Macaca mulatta: one gene and its partners. The protein of the gene in region 1 interacts with the protein of each later gene in a pairwise test. Links are inferred from orthologs where the notes say so. Each region holds a gene or a part of one and is shown on either strand. Other genes may lie near its edges.

Evidence for each region.
Region 2: the proteins of ATXN1 (region 1) and SAR1A interact in binary tests that used the Homo sapiens proteins (3 or more experiments, as listed by UniProt). The link is inferred for Macaca mulatta from reciprocal best matches to the Homo sapiens genes ATXN1 and SAR1A.
Region 3: the proteins of ATXN1 (region 1) and DMPK interact in binary tests that used the Homo sapiens proteins (3 or more experiments, as listed by UniProt). The link is inferred for Macaca mulatta from reciprocal best matches to the Homo sapiens genes ATXN1 and DMPK.

The regions. Positions count from the first base shown.
Region 1 is NC_133409.1:166,777,102-166,780,798, forward strand, and holds the end of ATXN1 (ataxin-1), read left to right. Parts: intron 1-527; coding exon 528-1,058; 3' UTR 1,059-2,710; downstream 2,711-3,697. UniProt on the Homo sapiens protein: Chromatin-binding factor that repress Notch signaling in the absence of Notch intracellular domain by acting as a CBF1 corepressor. Binds to the HEY promoter and might assist, along with NCOR2, RBPJ-mediated repression. Binds RNA in vitro.
Region 2 is NC_133414.1:79,473,199-79,477,856, forward strand, and holds part of SAR1A (small COPII coat GTPase SAR1A), read left to right. Parts: coding exon 1-65; intron 66-3,424; coding exon 3,425-3,528; intron 3,529-4,658. UniProt on the Homo sapiens protein: Small GTPase that cycles between an active GTP-bound and an inactive GDP-bound state and mainly functions in vesicle-mediated endoplasmic reticulum (ER) to Golgi transport.
Region 3 is NC_133424.1:58,320,708-58,324,534, reverse strand, and holds the end of DMPK (myotonin-protein kinase), read left to right. Parts: intron 1-651; coding exon 652-809; intron 810-903; coding exon 904-1,001; intron 1,002-1,172; coding exon 1,173-1,219; intron 1,220-1,508; coding exon 1,509-1,598; intron 1,599-1,925; coding exon 1,926-2,078; coding exon of another isoform or gene 2,079-2,085; 3' UTR 2,086-2,802; downstream 2,803-3,827. Other genes in the region: homeobox protein SIX5, read left to right, coding at 3,661-3,827. UniProt on the Homo sapiens protein: Non-receptor serine/threonine protein kinase which is necessary for the maintenance of skeletal muscle structure and function.

The sequences.
Region 1 (3,697 bases):
TCCTTTCAGGGGCTGGGGACTCAATGATAAACACATCATGCCTGCCTCTTGGAACTCACCTACAGTCTCACTCTGATCCCTGTTTAGTCGTGTCCTGTATGATAATAACAGCTGTCCATTGAGCTCATAAAATCTAAGACCATGCTGGGCTTCTGAGCCACCCGCAGAGCCTAGCTCGGTGCTGAAAGCTAAGTGGGTGTTCTGTCATTGCTGGGGTTTGATTGACTGGTTCTAACAGAGACCAGCTATAGAGCTAACACTTGGTGGAATATTTTGAATATTGATGGTCTTTTCACTGGCTTCTGTCTATGGTAAGTACAGGTACAACCCAAACTGAAGAGCCTCATTTATAGGGTGTGACTGGGGGAGAGGGAGGTTTGCAAACTGAGTCATTTTTCCCCCATTCGGCCTGTGTGTGTCTATGTGTGTATGTGTGAGTTCATACGTGTGTGTGCGCATAAAATCAAACAAGAATAAAATGTTTTCATTTGTCCCCTTCCTCTCTCTGTCTCTCCCTGTTTCCACAGGTCAGCGTTGAAGTTTTGGTAGAGTATCCTTTTTTTGTGTTTGGACAGGGCTGGTCATCCTGCTGTCCGGAGAGAACCAGCCAGCTCTTTGATTTGCCGTGTTCCAAACTCTCAGTTGGGGATGTGTGCATCTCGCTTACCCTCAAGAACCTGAAGAACGGCTCTGTTAAAAAGGGCCAGCCCGTGGATCCCGCCAGCGTCCTGCTGAAGCACTCAAAGGCCGACGGCCTGGCGGGCAGCAGACACAGGTATGCCGAGCAGGAAAACGGAATCAACCAGGGGAGTGCCCAGATGCTCTCTGAGAATGGCGAACTGAAGTTTCCAGAGAAAATGGGATTGCCTGCAGCGCCCTTCCTCACCAAAATAGAACCCAGCAAGCCCGCGGCCACGAGGAAGAGGAGGTGGTCGGCGCCGGAGAGCCGCAAACTGGAGAAGTCAGAAGACGAACCACCTTTGACTCTTCCTAAGCCTTCTCTAATTCCTCAGGAGGTTAAGATTTGCATTGAAGGCCGGTCTAATGTAGGCAAGTAGAGGCAGCGTGGGGGAAAGGAAACGTGGCTCTCCCTTATCATTTGTATCCAGATTACTGTACTGTAGGCTAAATAACACAGTATTTACATGTTATCCTCTTATTTTAGGTTTCTGTTCTAACCTTGTCATTAGAGTTACAGCAGGTGTGTCGCAGGAGACTGGTGCATATGCTTTTTCCACGAGTGTCTGTCAGTGAGCGGGCGGGAGGAAGGGCACAGCAGGAGCGGTCAGGGCTCCACGCATCCCCGGGGAAGAAAGGAACCGGGCTCCACAGCGCCTGCTTTCTGTAGCGGCCCAGAAGCAGCCAGGGGCGCTGACTCCCGCTAGTGTCAGGAGAAAAGTCCCGTGGGAAGGGTCCTGCAGGGGTGCAGGGGTGCATGCATGTGGGGGTGCACAGGCGCTGTGGCGGCGAGTGAGGGTCTCTTTTTCTCTGCCTCCCTCTGCCTCACTCTCTTGCTATCGGCATGGGACGGGGTGTTCAGAGCAGTGTCCTCCTGGGGTTCCCATGTGCAAAATCAACATCAGGAACCCAGCTTCAGGGCATCGCGGAGGCGCGTCAGACGGCAGATTTGGAAAGTTAACCATTTAAAAGAACATTTTTCTCTCCAACCTGTTTTACAATAAAAGCAACTTTTAATTGTATAGATATATATTTCCCCCTATGGGGCCTGACTGCACTGATATATTTTTTTTTTTTAAAGAGCAACTGCCACATGCGGGATTTCATTTCTGCTTTTTACTAGTGCAGCGATGTCACCGGGGTGTTGTGGTGGACAGGGAAGCCCCTGCTGTCATGGCCCCACATGGGGTAAGGGGGGTTGGGGGTGGGGGCAGGGGAGAGAGCGAACACCCACGCTGGTTTCTGTGCAGTGTTAGGTAAACCAATCAGGTTATTGCATTGACTTCACTCCCAAGAGGTAGATGCAAACTGCCCTTCAGTGAGAGCCACAGAAGCTCTTCACGTTGAGTTTGCAAAATCTTTTTGTCTTTGAACTCTAGTACTGTTTATAGTTCATGACTATGGACAACTCGGGTGCCACTTTTTTTTTTTTTTCAGATTCCAGTGTGACATGAGGAATTAGATTTTGAAGATGAGCATATATTACTATCTTTAAGCATTTAAAAATACTGTTCACACTTTATTACCAAGCATCTTGGTCTCTCATTCAACAAGTACTGTATCTCACTTTAAACTCTTTGGGGAAAAACAAAAAACAAAAAAACAAAAAAAACTAAGTTGCTTTCTTTTTTTCAACACTGTAACTACATTTCAGCTCTGCAGAATTGCTGAAGAGCAAGATATTGAAAGTTTCAATGTGGTTTAAAGGGATGAATGTGAATTATGAACTAGTATGTGACAATAAATGACCACCAAGTACTACCTGACGGGAGGCACTTTTCACTTTGATGTCTGAGAATCAGTTCAAGGCATATGCAGAGTTGGCAGAGAAACTGAGAGAAAAGGGATGGAGAAGAGAATACTCATTTTTGTCCAGTGTTTTTCTTTTTAAGATGAACTTTTAAAGAACCTTGCGATTTGCACATATTGAGTTTATAATTTGTGTGATATTCCTGCAGTTTTTATCCAATAACATTGTGGGAAAGGTTTGGGGGACTGAACGAGCATAAATAAATGTAGCAAAATTTCTTTCTAACCTGCCTAAACTCTAGGCCATTTTATAAGGTTATGTTCCTTTGAAAATTCATTTTGGTCTTTTTACCACATCTGTCACAAAAAGCCAGGTCTTAGCAGGCTCTTAGAAACTCTGAGAATTTTCTTCAGATTCATTGAGAGAGTTTTCCATAAAGACATTTATATATGTGAGCAAGATTTTGTTTTAAACAATTATTTTATTATTGTTGTTATTAATGTTATTTTCAGAATGACTTTTTTTTTTCTATTCAAAATCAAATCAAGATTTAATGTTTGGTACAAACCCAGAAAGGGTATTTCATAGTTTTTAAACCTTTCATTCCCAGAGATCTGAAATATCATTTGTGGGTTTTGAATGCATCTTTAAAGTGCTTTAAAAAAACAGTTTTATAAGTAGGGAGAAATTTTTAAATATTCTTACTTGGATGGCTGCAACTAACCTAAACAAATACCTGATTTTTCTTTTACCCCATTGAAAATAGTACTTCCTTCATTTCACAAATTAAAAAAAAAAAAATCTGGTATCAACCCACATTTTGGCTGTCTAGTATTCATTTACATTTAAGGCTCACCAGGACTAATGATTTTTGTAAACCATTTTCTGGGGTGTACCAAAAACATTTGAATAGGTTTAGAATAGCTAGAATAGTTTCTTGACTTTCCTCGAATTTCATTACCCTCTCAGCATGCTTGCAGAGAGCTGGGTGGGTTCATTCTTGCAGTCATACTGCTTATTTAGTGCTGTATTTTTTAAACGTTTCTGTTCAGAGAACTTGCTTAATCTTCCATATATTCTGCTCAGGGCACTTGCAATTATTAGGTTTTGTTTTTTCTTTTTGTTTTTTAACCTTTGATGGTAAGAGGAATACGGGCTGCCACATAGACTTTGTTCTCATTAGTATCACTATTTACAACTCATGTGGACTCAGAAAAACACACACCACCTTTTGGCTTACTTCGAGTATTGAACTGACTGGATCCACTA
Region 2 (4,658 bases), on another chromosome or scaffold:
ATCAGAAGAGCTAACAATTGCTGGAATGACCTTTACAACTTTTGATCTTGGTGGGCATGAGCAAGGTAAGCGATGACTCAGTGGAAAGCATGTTTATTGACTTATGATTCTTTTTGTGCCCCCCAGCACCCTTTAAAAGCAATGTGTCGTTTTTACCTTTTAAATTACACTTTAGAATTAGGATCTTACTACTTTAGTGAAGTTGTTTTATTCATTTTTTTTAAACTCATTTCAAACTTGTCTAAAGTTGCGTTAAATACACAGAAGTCCACTTCAATATTACCCTATTGAGCTAGTATAAAGTTAGCTATAATGCATAACTATTCATGAACTTTTAAGTATTTGCCTGATAAAGCCAAACTCAACTCAAATCTTGACTGAAAATTTTTACAAAGCAGGACAGCATCTTGCCATTTTAATCTTTACTAGGTTTTTACTTATTAACGCAATTTACCTGGTAACTAGAAAATACGTTAAAAGATATAGGTATTGCCTCAACAAGAGTAATTATTTCATCATTTTAACTAGGCTTGCTCTAAGCCAGTGTATTTTCTTCTATACCTTTTGCCCAAATTTGTTAGTCTCCTCCTCCCTACATAATACATATTAATACTTACTTTTTATTAACTGTTTGTGAGCATATCATGCCCCTTTACTCTTTTATACTTTAGTGCCGTTTTCTAAGAACAAAGATATCTCCTTGTATATAATCATAATAGTTATCAAATCAAGAAAGTTTTATTTTTATCCAATCTGTATTTCCTTTTTTTTTCTTTTTTTTGGTCAGTTGTCCTGATAATCTCTTTTATACCATTTTTTCATCTTGACCAGGTATACAGTATCATATATTTAGTTATCAAGCATTTTTGCATCCTTTATTCAATGGAGTGAAAGTATGTAGGAAATTTAACTTAAATATTTGTAAGTAATTTCAGACTTGTCAAAAGTTGCAAAAGTAGTACAGTGACTATGTGTGATTACTCTAAGTTGATATTTTGTATATTCTATCCATTTGGGACAGTTGGTAGAACATTTCCTTCTACCTTTTTGCTTTCCTTAGAAGTGCTTTTTGCCTACTCAGGCTATGTCTTTGGCTACCAGATTCCTATCAGGTGTTTAGAGACATACAGGATGGGCGTCTTTGTCTAATGGGCACTCAGTTCACATTTGACAAGACAGTAGGTATAGGAGTAAAACATTTAAGATGTGAGAATAAACATTCTGGGAAGGTAGGGAAAAGGAACTATTGAGATTCTGTCAGATTTACTTACTTGTTACTACATTGAGTGGAGAAATCTCATTTTGAAACATTAGGTTGAGCTAATACCATTTTTTTTTCTTTTTTTTGAGATGGGGTCTTGCTCTGTTGCCCAGACTGGAGTGCAGTGGCATAGTCTTGGCATACTGCAACCTCTACTTCCTGGGCTTAAGCAATCCTCCCACCTATTTTTTGTAGAGACTGGGTTTCTGCCATGTTGCCCAGGCTGGTCTTGAACTCCTGAGCTCAAGCAATCCACCTGCCTTGGCCTCCCAAAGTGCTGGGATTATGGGCGTGAGCCATTGTGCCCAGCCTAATACAGTTTTTTGTTTTTTTTTTTTTTTTTTTGAGACAGAGTCTCACTGTGTCTCCCAGGCTGGAGTGCAGTGGCGTGATCTCGGCTCACTGCAAGCTCCGCCTCCTGGGTTCACGCCATTCTCCCGCCTCAGCCTCCCAAGTAGCTGAGACTACAGGCGCCCGCCACCACGCCCGGCTAGTTTTTTGTATTTTAGTAGAGACGGGGTTTCACCATGTTAGCCAGGATAGTCTCGATCTCCTGACCTCGTGATCCACCCGCCTCGGCCTCCCAAAGTGCTGGGATTACAGGCTTGAGCCACCGCGCCCGGCCCTAATACAGTTTTAAAACAATGTGTAGTAAAATACAACATTGGTCATTTCTAGTAGTTAAGCCTAATAATTTTATAGTCAGTTATTTCATTAACATATAATTACATTTTAATTAATTTATTTAATATTTATGCCCTAAAAAATCATGTATATTATGATCATAATCACATAAAATACCAGTAAAGAAAAAAGACTGGAAGAAAATACCAAAATATTGACAAGGGGTGTGTTTTGATGGAGGGATTAGAAATGATTTTGTTTCCTTTTTTATGTAAGGAGCTTGTATTTTTTTTCATTTGGGTAAGAATGGGTATATGGTGTCCTTTCTGCTTTTCCACAAAAGGATTTGTAACTGCTTACAAATTTAAATTCAGAGCAAGATACGACTGAACCTAGACCATCTGGAGAATGCAGAAGGAACAGACACCAGATGGTTTTATATACCTGAACTGGGAATTGTTGATTGTTTGGTGTGATAAATTTAGGTTTCAGGTTTTGTTAAAATAAGAAGGGAAATGTATTGATGTATTTAGTTTTGTTTCTTTGACTGAGGAAAATCTACTAAACAGAAACACTTTTACCTAATAACCTAGCCACCATTTTATAGAAGTTACTAAAATACTGTACATCTGGAGGTTCCTTTTTTTTTTTGTATAACTTAAAAATTTTAACTTATAAAAGGAGAGCAGATTTGATATAACAAAATCGGTATAGAACTACAGAAAGTAAAATGGAAAGTTCCTTCAACCTCTTTTTCCTAACTCTACTCTTTAAAGGTAACCATTAATAACTGATGTAGAGATGCTTCGTTATTCATTCTATTGCAAGGGCTAGAAATGAATGGCTTAGAAATGATAGTAAAATTAAATCACTGCTTCCCAGCCTTTATCGTTTCATGTCACAAGCAAAAAACAAGTAATATTTCTAAGGCATGCTGGGTTAAATATGGTAGGCTGAGATAACTGGCCTGGGGCCTTGAACCACTTGTCAGGCCCAGTCTCCCTAAGGGCTAAGCAGAGGAGTGTGTCAAGACACCTACACACAAGTTGGCTAGAAACTAACTGGGACTAAAGTTACATGGACAAGTAATTTGTATCCTGATGTTTTAACTCAGAGGTTGCAAATTCAACTTGGCTCCAGGGGCAAGGCAAGTCATTTAAGTGAGTAAAATTGGCTGACTGTAAGACAGCAGGGACATTTTGTCAAGCAAAAGTGTTCAGACATCATCTGAAGGGGTAGCCACTGCTTAGTTCCTGCTGATAGTTGTCATGTGGATAAGTAGGCATGGGGTTGCCAGATGTTGCAGTTTTTCAAGAAAGGTGGAAACTCTGATTTTCAAATTTACAAAAATCAAGTTCAACTCGTGGACCATTAGTTTGCATCCTCTGTTCTAAATTAATACTGGCCAGAACTTGGAGAAATCCATAGAGTCTAATCTTACTGAAACCTGACCAAGATTTGTCCATTTTAAGACCATTAGGTTATTCATTTTTACAATGTATATTTTTTACTGATGCAACTACAAACTTTGTTTTTTAGCACGTCGGGTTTGGAAAAATTATCTCCCAGCAATTAATGGGATTGTCTTTCTGGTGGACTGTGCAGATCATTCTCGCCTCGTGGAATCCAAAGTTGAGCTTAATGTATGTTTATATACTTTGTCCTTTTTTGGCCTCTATTTTTTTTTTTTTAAGAAATATAGCTCAGTAGTGCCAATAATTAGTAATTCCAGTTAACATTTGGCAAAAAGACCTAGTTGCAGGAGGAAAATGTTTTAAATCTAAGACATTGCTTTTCAATGTCCTGAGGAAACTCAGCTCAAACTTGAATAAATTAACTGTTTTTTCTATCATACAGTGACTATATGGCCAAGTTTGCTCAGGATACTCCTCATTTATGCCTGTTGTCCCAGCATAATTAATTAATTAATAGTATTCCATTTCACGTGTCATCATGAACAGTAATTTTTTTTTTTTTTTTTTGAGACAGAGTGTCTCTCTGTTGCCTGGCCTGGAGTGCAGTGGCGCAGTCTCAGCTCACTATAACCTCCACCTCCTGGGTTTGAGGGATTCTCCTGCCTCAGCCTACTGAGTGGCCTCCTGGGACTACAGGCACGTGCCACCACGCCTGGCTAATTTTTTGTATTTTTAGTAGCGACGGGGTTTCACCGTGTTAGCCAGGATGGTCTTGATTTCCTGACGTCATGATCCACCCTCCTTGGCCTCCCAAAGTGCTGGGATTACAGGCATGAGCCACCACGCCTGGCCCACGAACAGTAATTCTTTATAAGTAGTGTTGGCACAGTGAAAGCCTAAAAGCAATATTAGAGTTCTTTACATTTTTGAATCTGCATTCTCAGCTTGTGCCTACCCACCCTCCCACTGAATGACTTGCCAGACCTTCATGGTCTGTTCTCAGCCTTCAGTTTTGGTTGCATACATCCTTTGATACTATCAAGGACTTACTTCAAGTTTTCTCCTTTGTCCACATTGCATTTTCTCTTGGCTTGATGGTTTCTATACTATTGGCTTTATTATCCCTACTCCTTTACCCTATATCTTTTCTTTCTCTTTGATCTGTAACTCCTTGGATTCTTGTTCCTGGCAATTTGAACCTGTCTTGAATTTATTTCTAAGTATGTTTCTCACATCTATAGCTCCAGCCTCATGTAGAATTGCCTGCCACGCAATCTTTACCTTGCCTTTTTTTTTTTTTAAAATAAAAAAAAACAGTCTTCCTCTGTTGCCCAGGCTGGAGTCCAATGGTGCAATCA
Region 3 (3,827 bases), on another chromosome or scaffold:
CCCGGGTGGCGTGTGCTGTAGAGCCCTCTGGGGACTTCCTGAACAGAAGCAGACAGAAACCACGGACAGACCAGGTTACTTCAGACATGACACGGTCTCTGTAGTTACAGTGGGGCATTAAGTAAGGCTGTGTGCGTTGGTGGGGATCTGAGGAGTTGAACTTTGAGCTGAACGCTCCTGAAGGAGAAGCCAGCCATGGAAAGAAAGGTGCCAGGTGGTCAGGCGAGAGCCTCAAGGGCAAAGGCCTTGAGCAGGTGGGAATCCTGATATCCTGATTTGTTCCTGTTTGGCTGAACCGTTCCTGAGAATGCTGGAGAGGCCAGCAGGCAACAAAACCCAGCAAGGCCTTTTGTCGTGAGGGCATTAGGGAGCTGGAGGGATTTTGAGCAGCAGAGGGACATAGGTTGTGTTCGTGTTTGAGGACCAGCTCTCTGGTCCCTGTGTGGATTTCGAGGACCAGACTCAGAGAAGGGGCTGAGGGAGGTAGGGAAGGGAGGGGGCTTGGATCATTGCAGGAGCTGTGGGGATTCCAGAAATTTTGAGGGGACGGAGAAGTAGGAGACAAGCAAGGATCCCTAGCCTGGAACCAGTGCCCAAGTTCTGAGTCCTCCAGGAGCCACAGGCAGCCTTAAGCCCGGTCCCCATACACAGGCTGAAGTGGCAGTTCCAGCGGCTATCCCTGCGGCAGAGGCTGAGGCCGAGGTGACGCTGCGGGAGCTCCAGGAGGCCCTGGAGGAGGAGGTGCTCACCCGGCAGAGCCTGAGCCGGGAGATGGAGGCCATCCGCATGGCCAACCAGAACTTTGCCAGGTCGGCGTTGGGGCCGGGGCGCAGGGCCCATGGCAACCCTTGGCAGCCCCTCTCGTCCGACTCGGACGGACTCACTGTCCTTACCTCCCCACAGTCAACTACGCGAGGCAGAGGCTCGGAACCGGGACCTAGAGGCGCACGTACGGCAGTTGCAGGAGCGGATGGAGTTGCTGCGGGCAGAGGGAGCCACAGGCGAGTCCCTCATGTGTCCCCTTCCCCGAAGGGCCGGGAGGAGGTGGGCCGTCTGCTCTGCGGGGCACGTATAGACACCTGGAGGAGGGAAGGGACCCATGCTGGGGCACGCCGCGCCACCGCCCTCCTTCGCCCCTCCACGCGCCCTATGCCTCTTTCTTCTCCTTCCAGCTGTCACGGGGGTCCCCAGTCCCCGGGCCACGGATCCACCTTCCCATGTAAGACCCCTCTCTTTCCCCTGCCTCAGACCTGCTGCCCACTCTACAGATCCCCTCCCTGGCTCCTGGTCTCCCCGTCCAGATACAGGGCTCACCCTACGTCTTTGCAACTTTGGAGGACAGATGCCCTTCGTTCAGCCCCAGATCTCCCTCCGTTCAAGGCTCACCAGATTCCCTCCGGGATCTCCCTAGATAACCTCCCCGGCCTCGATTCCCCTCGCTCTCTCTCGCCCCACTGCTGAGGGCTGGGCTGGGCTCCGATCGGGTCACCTGTCCCTTCTCTCTCCAGCTAGATGGCCCCCCGGCCGTGGCTCTGGGCCAGTGCCCGCTGGTGGGGCCAGGCCCCATGCACCGCCGCCACCTGCTGCTCCCTGCCAGGGTACGTCCGGCTGCCCACGCCCCCCTCCGCCGCCGCGCCCCTCGCTCCACCCGCCCTGTGCCACCCGCTTAGCTGCGCATTTGCAGGGCTGGGCCCACGGCGGGAGGGCGGATCCGCGGGGAGCCAATCAACACAGGCCGCTAAGAAGCAGCCAATGACGAGTTCAGACGGGATTAGAGGCGTGCGAGTGGACTAACAGCTGCCGGCTGTTGGGGCGGGGGTGGGGAGCAGGGAGGCGTGCGGGCCCACCTATGGGCGTAGGCGGGGCGAGTCCCAGGAGCCAATCAGAGGCCCATGCCGGGTGTTAACCTCGCCCTCTCCCCGCAGGTCCCTAGGCCTGGCCTATCGGAGGCGCTTTCCCTGCTCCTGTTCGCCGTTGCTCTGTCTCGTGCCGCCGCCCTGGGCTGCGCTGGGTTGGTGGTCCACGCCGGCCAACTCACCGCAGTCTGGCGTCGCCCGGGAGCCGCTCGCGCTCCCTGAACCCTAGAACTGTCTTCGACTCCGGGGCCCCGTTGAAAGACTGAGCGCCCGGGGCACGGCAAAGAAGCCGCGCCCACCGCCTGCCAGTTCACACCGCTCCGAGCTTGGGTCTCCGCCCAGCTCCAGTCCTGTGATCCAGGCCCGCCCCCTAGCGGCTGGGGAGGGAGGGGCCGGGTTCGCGGCCGGCGAACGGGGCTCGAGGGGGCCTTGTAGCCGGGAATGCTGCTGCTGCTGCTGCTGGTGGGGGATCGCAGACCACTTCTTTCGGCCAGGCTGAGGCCCTGACGTGGATGGGCAAACGACAGGCCTGCGAAGGCAGCAAGCCGGGTCGTCCGTGTTCCACTTTCCACGCACCCCCACCTACCGTCGGTTCGCAAACTGCAAATCCTCCCTTGTGCATGACGCCCTGCTCTCTGGGGAGCGTCTGGCGCGACCTCTGCCCGCTTACTCGGGAAATTTGCTTTTGCCAAACCCGCTTATTCGGGGATCCCGCGCCCCCCTCCTCACGTGCGCTGCTCTCGGAGCCCGAGCCGGCTCTGACTGCTTCGGCGGTTTGGATATTTATTGACCTCGTCCTCCGACTCGCTGACAGGCTGCAGGACCCCGAACACCCCAATCCACGTTTTGGATGCACTGAGACCCCGATATTCCTCGGTATTTATTGTCTGTCCCCACCTAGGACCCCACCCCCGACCCTCGCGAATAAAAGGCCCTCCATCTGCCCAAAGTTCTGGACTCCGCAGTCCGCGGTTTGCGTAGTGGGCAGGAGGTTGCGGAGCGGGCCAATCCGAAGGCGAGTGGAGGCGGCCGAAGGTCTGGGAGGAGCTAGCGGGATGCGAAGCGGACGAATCAAGGTTGGGGGAGGGAAAGCTACGGGGCGGGGCCTTGGCGTCCGGCCAATAGGAGGGCGAATGGGCCACCCGGAGGCACCGCCCCGGCCCAGCTGTGGCCCAGCTGTGCCACTGAGCGTCGAGAAGAGGGGGGATGGGCTGGCAGCGCGCGGCCATCCTCCTTCCACTGCGCCTGCGCACGCCACGCGCATCCGCTCCGGGGACGCAAGCTCGAGAAAAGTTGCTGCAAACTTTCTAGCCCGTTCCCCGCCCCTCCTCCAGGCCAGACCCGCCCCCCCGCGGAGCCGGGAATTCCGAGGGGCGGAGCGCAGGCCGAGATGGGGAATGTGGGGGCCTGCAGAGGACCCTGGAGACGGAGGCGTGCAGAAGCTCAGTCTCGGGGCGGAGGCTTCGCGCCCTTAGCCCTCCTGGACGGCCCGTTACCTTCTGCATTGTCCCGATGGGGAAACTGAGGCCCTGAGCCAGAAGCACACGCTGGGGGGGAGGCAGAAAGCGCGGCCAGAGGCGGAGGGAAAACAAAGGGAGAATCACAGACAGACGGGAGGGGAACGGACACACACACGGGGACAGAGACCCGGGTCTCGCCTTCCCGGCGTGGGGCGCAGTCGGCCAGGGAGAAGATCGAGAACAGCGGGGAGTGGGGGCGAAAAGGGGGAACAGGCGGGGGAGGGGGCTGGGGAAAGCCCAAGGGAGGAAGAGAAGGAGGGAGGAACTTCCCAAAGTTGCAAAACATGGCTACCTTGCCTGCGGAGCCGAGCGCGGGGCCGGCGGCCGGGGGGGAGGCGGTGGCGGCGGCGGCGGCGGCGACCGAAGAGGAGGAGGAGGAAGCGCGCCAGCTCTTGCAGACTTTGCAGGCGGCCGAGGGTGAGGCGGCGGCGGCGGCCGGGGCCGGGGCGGG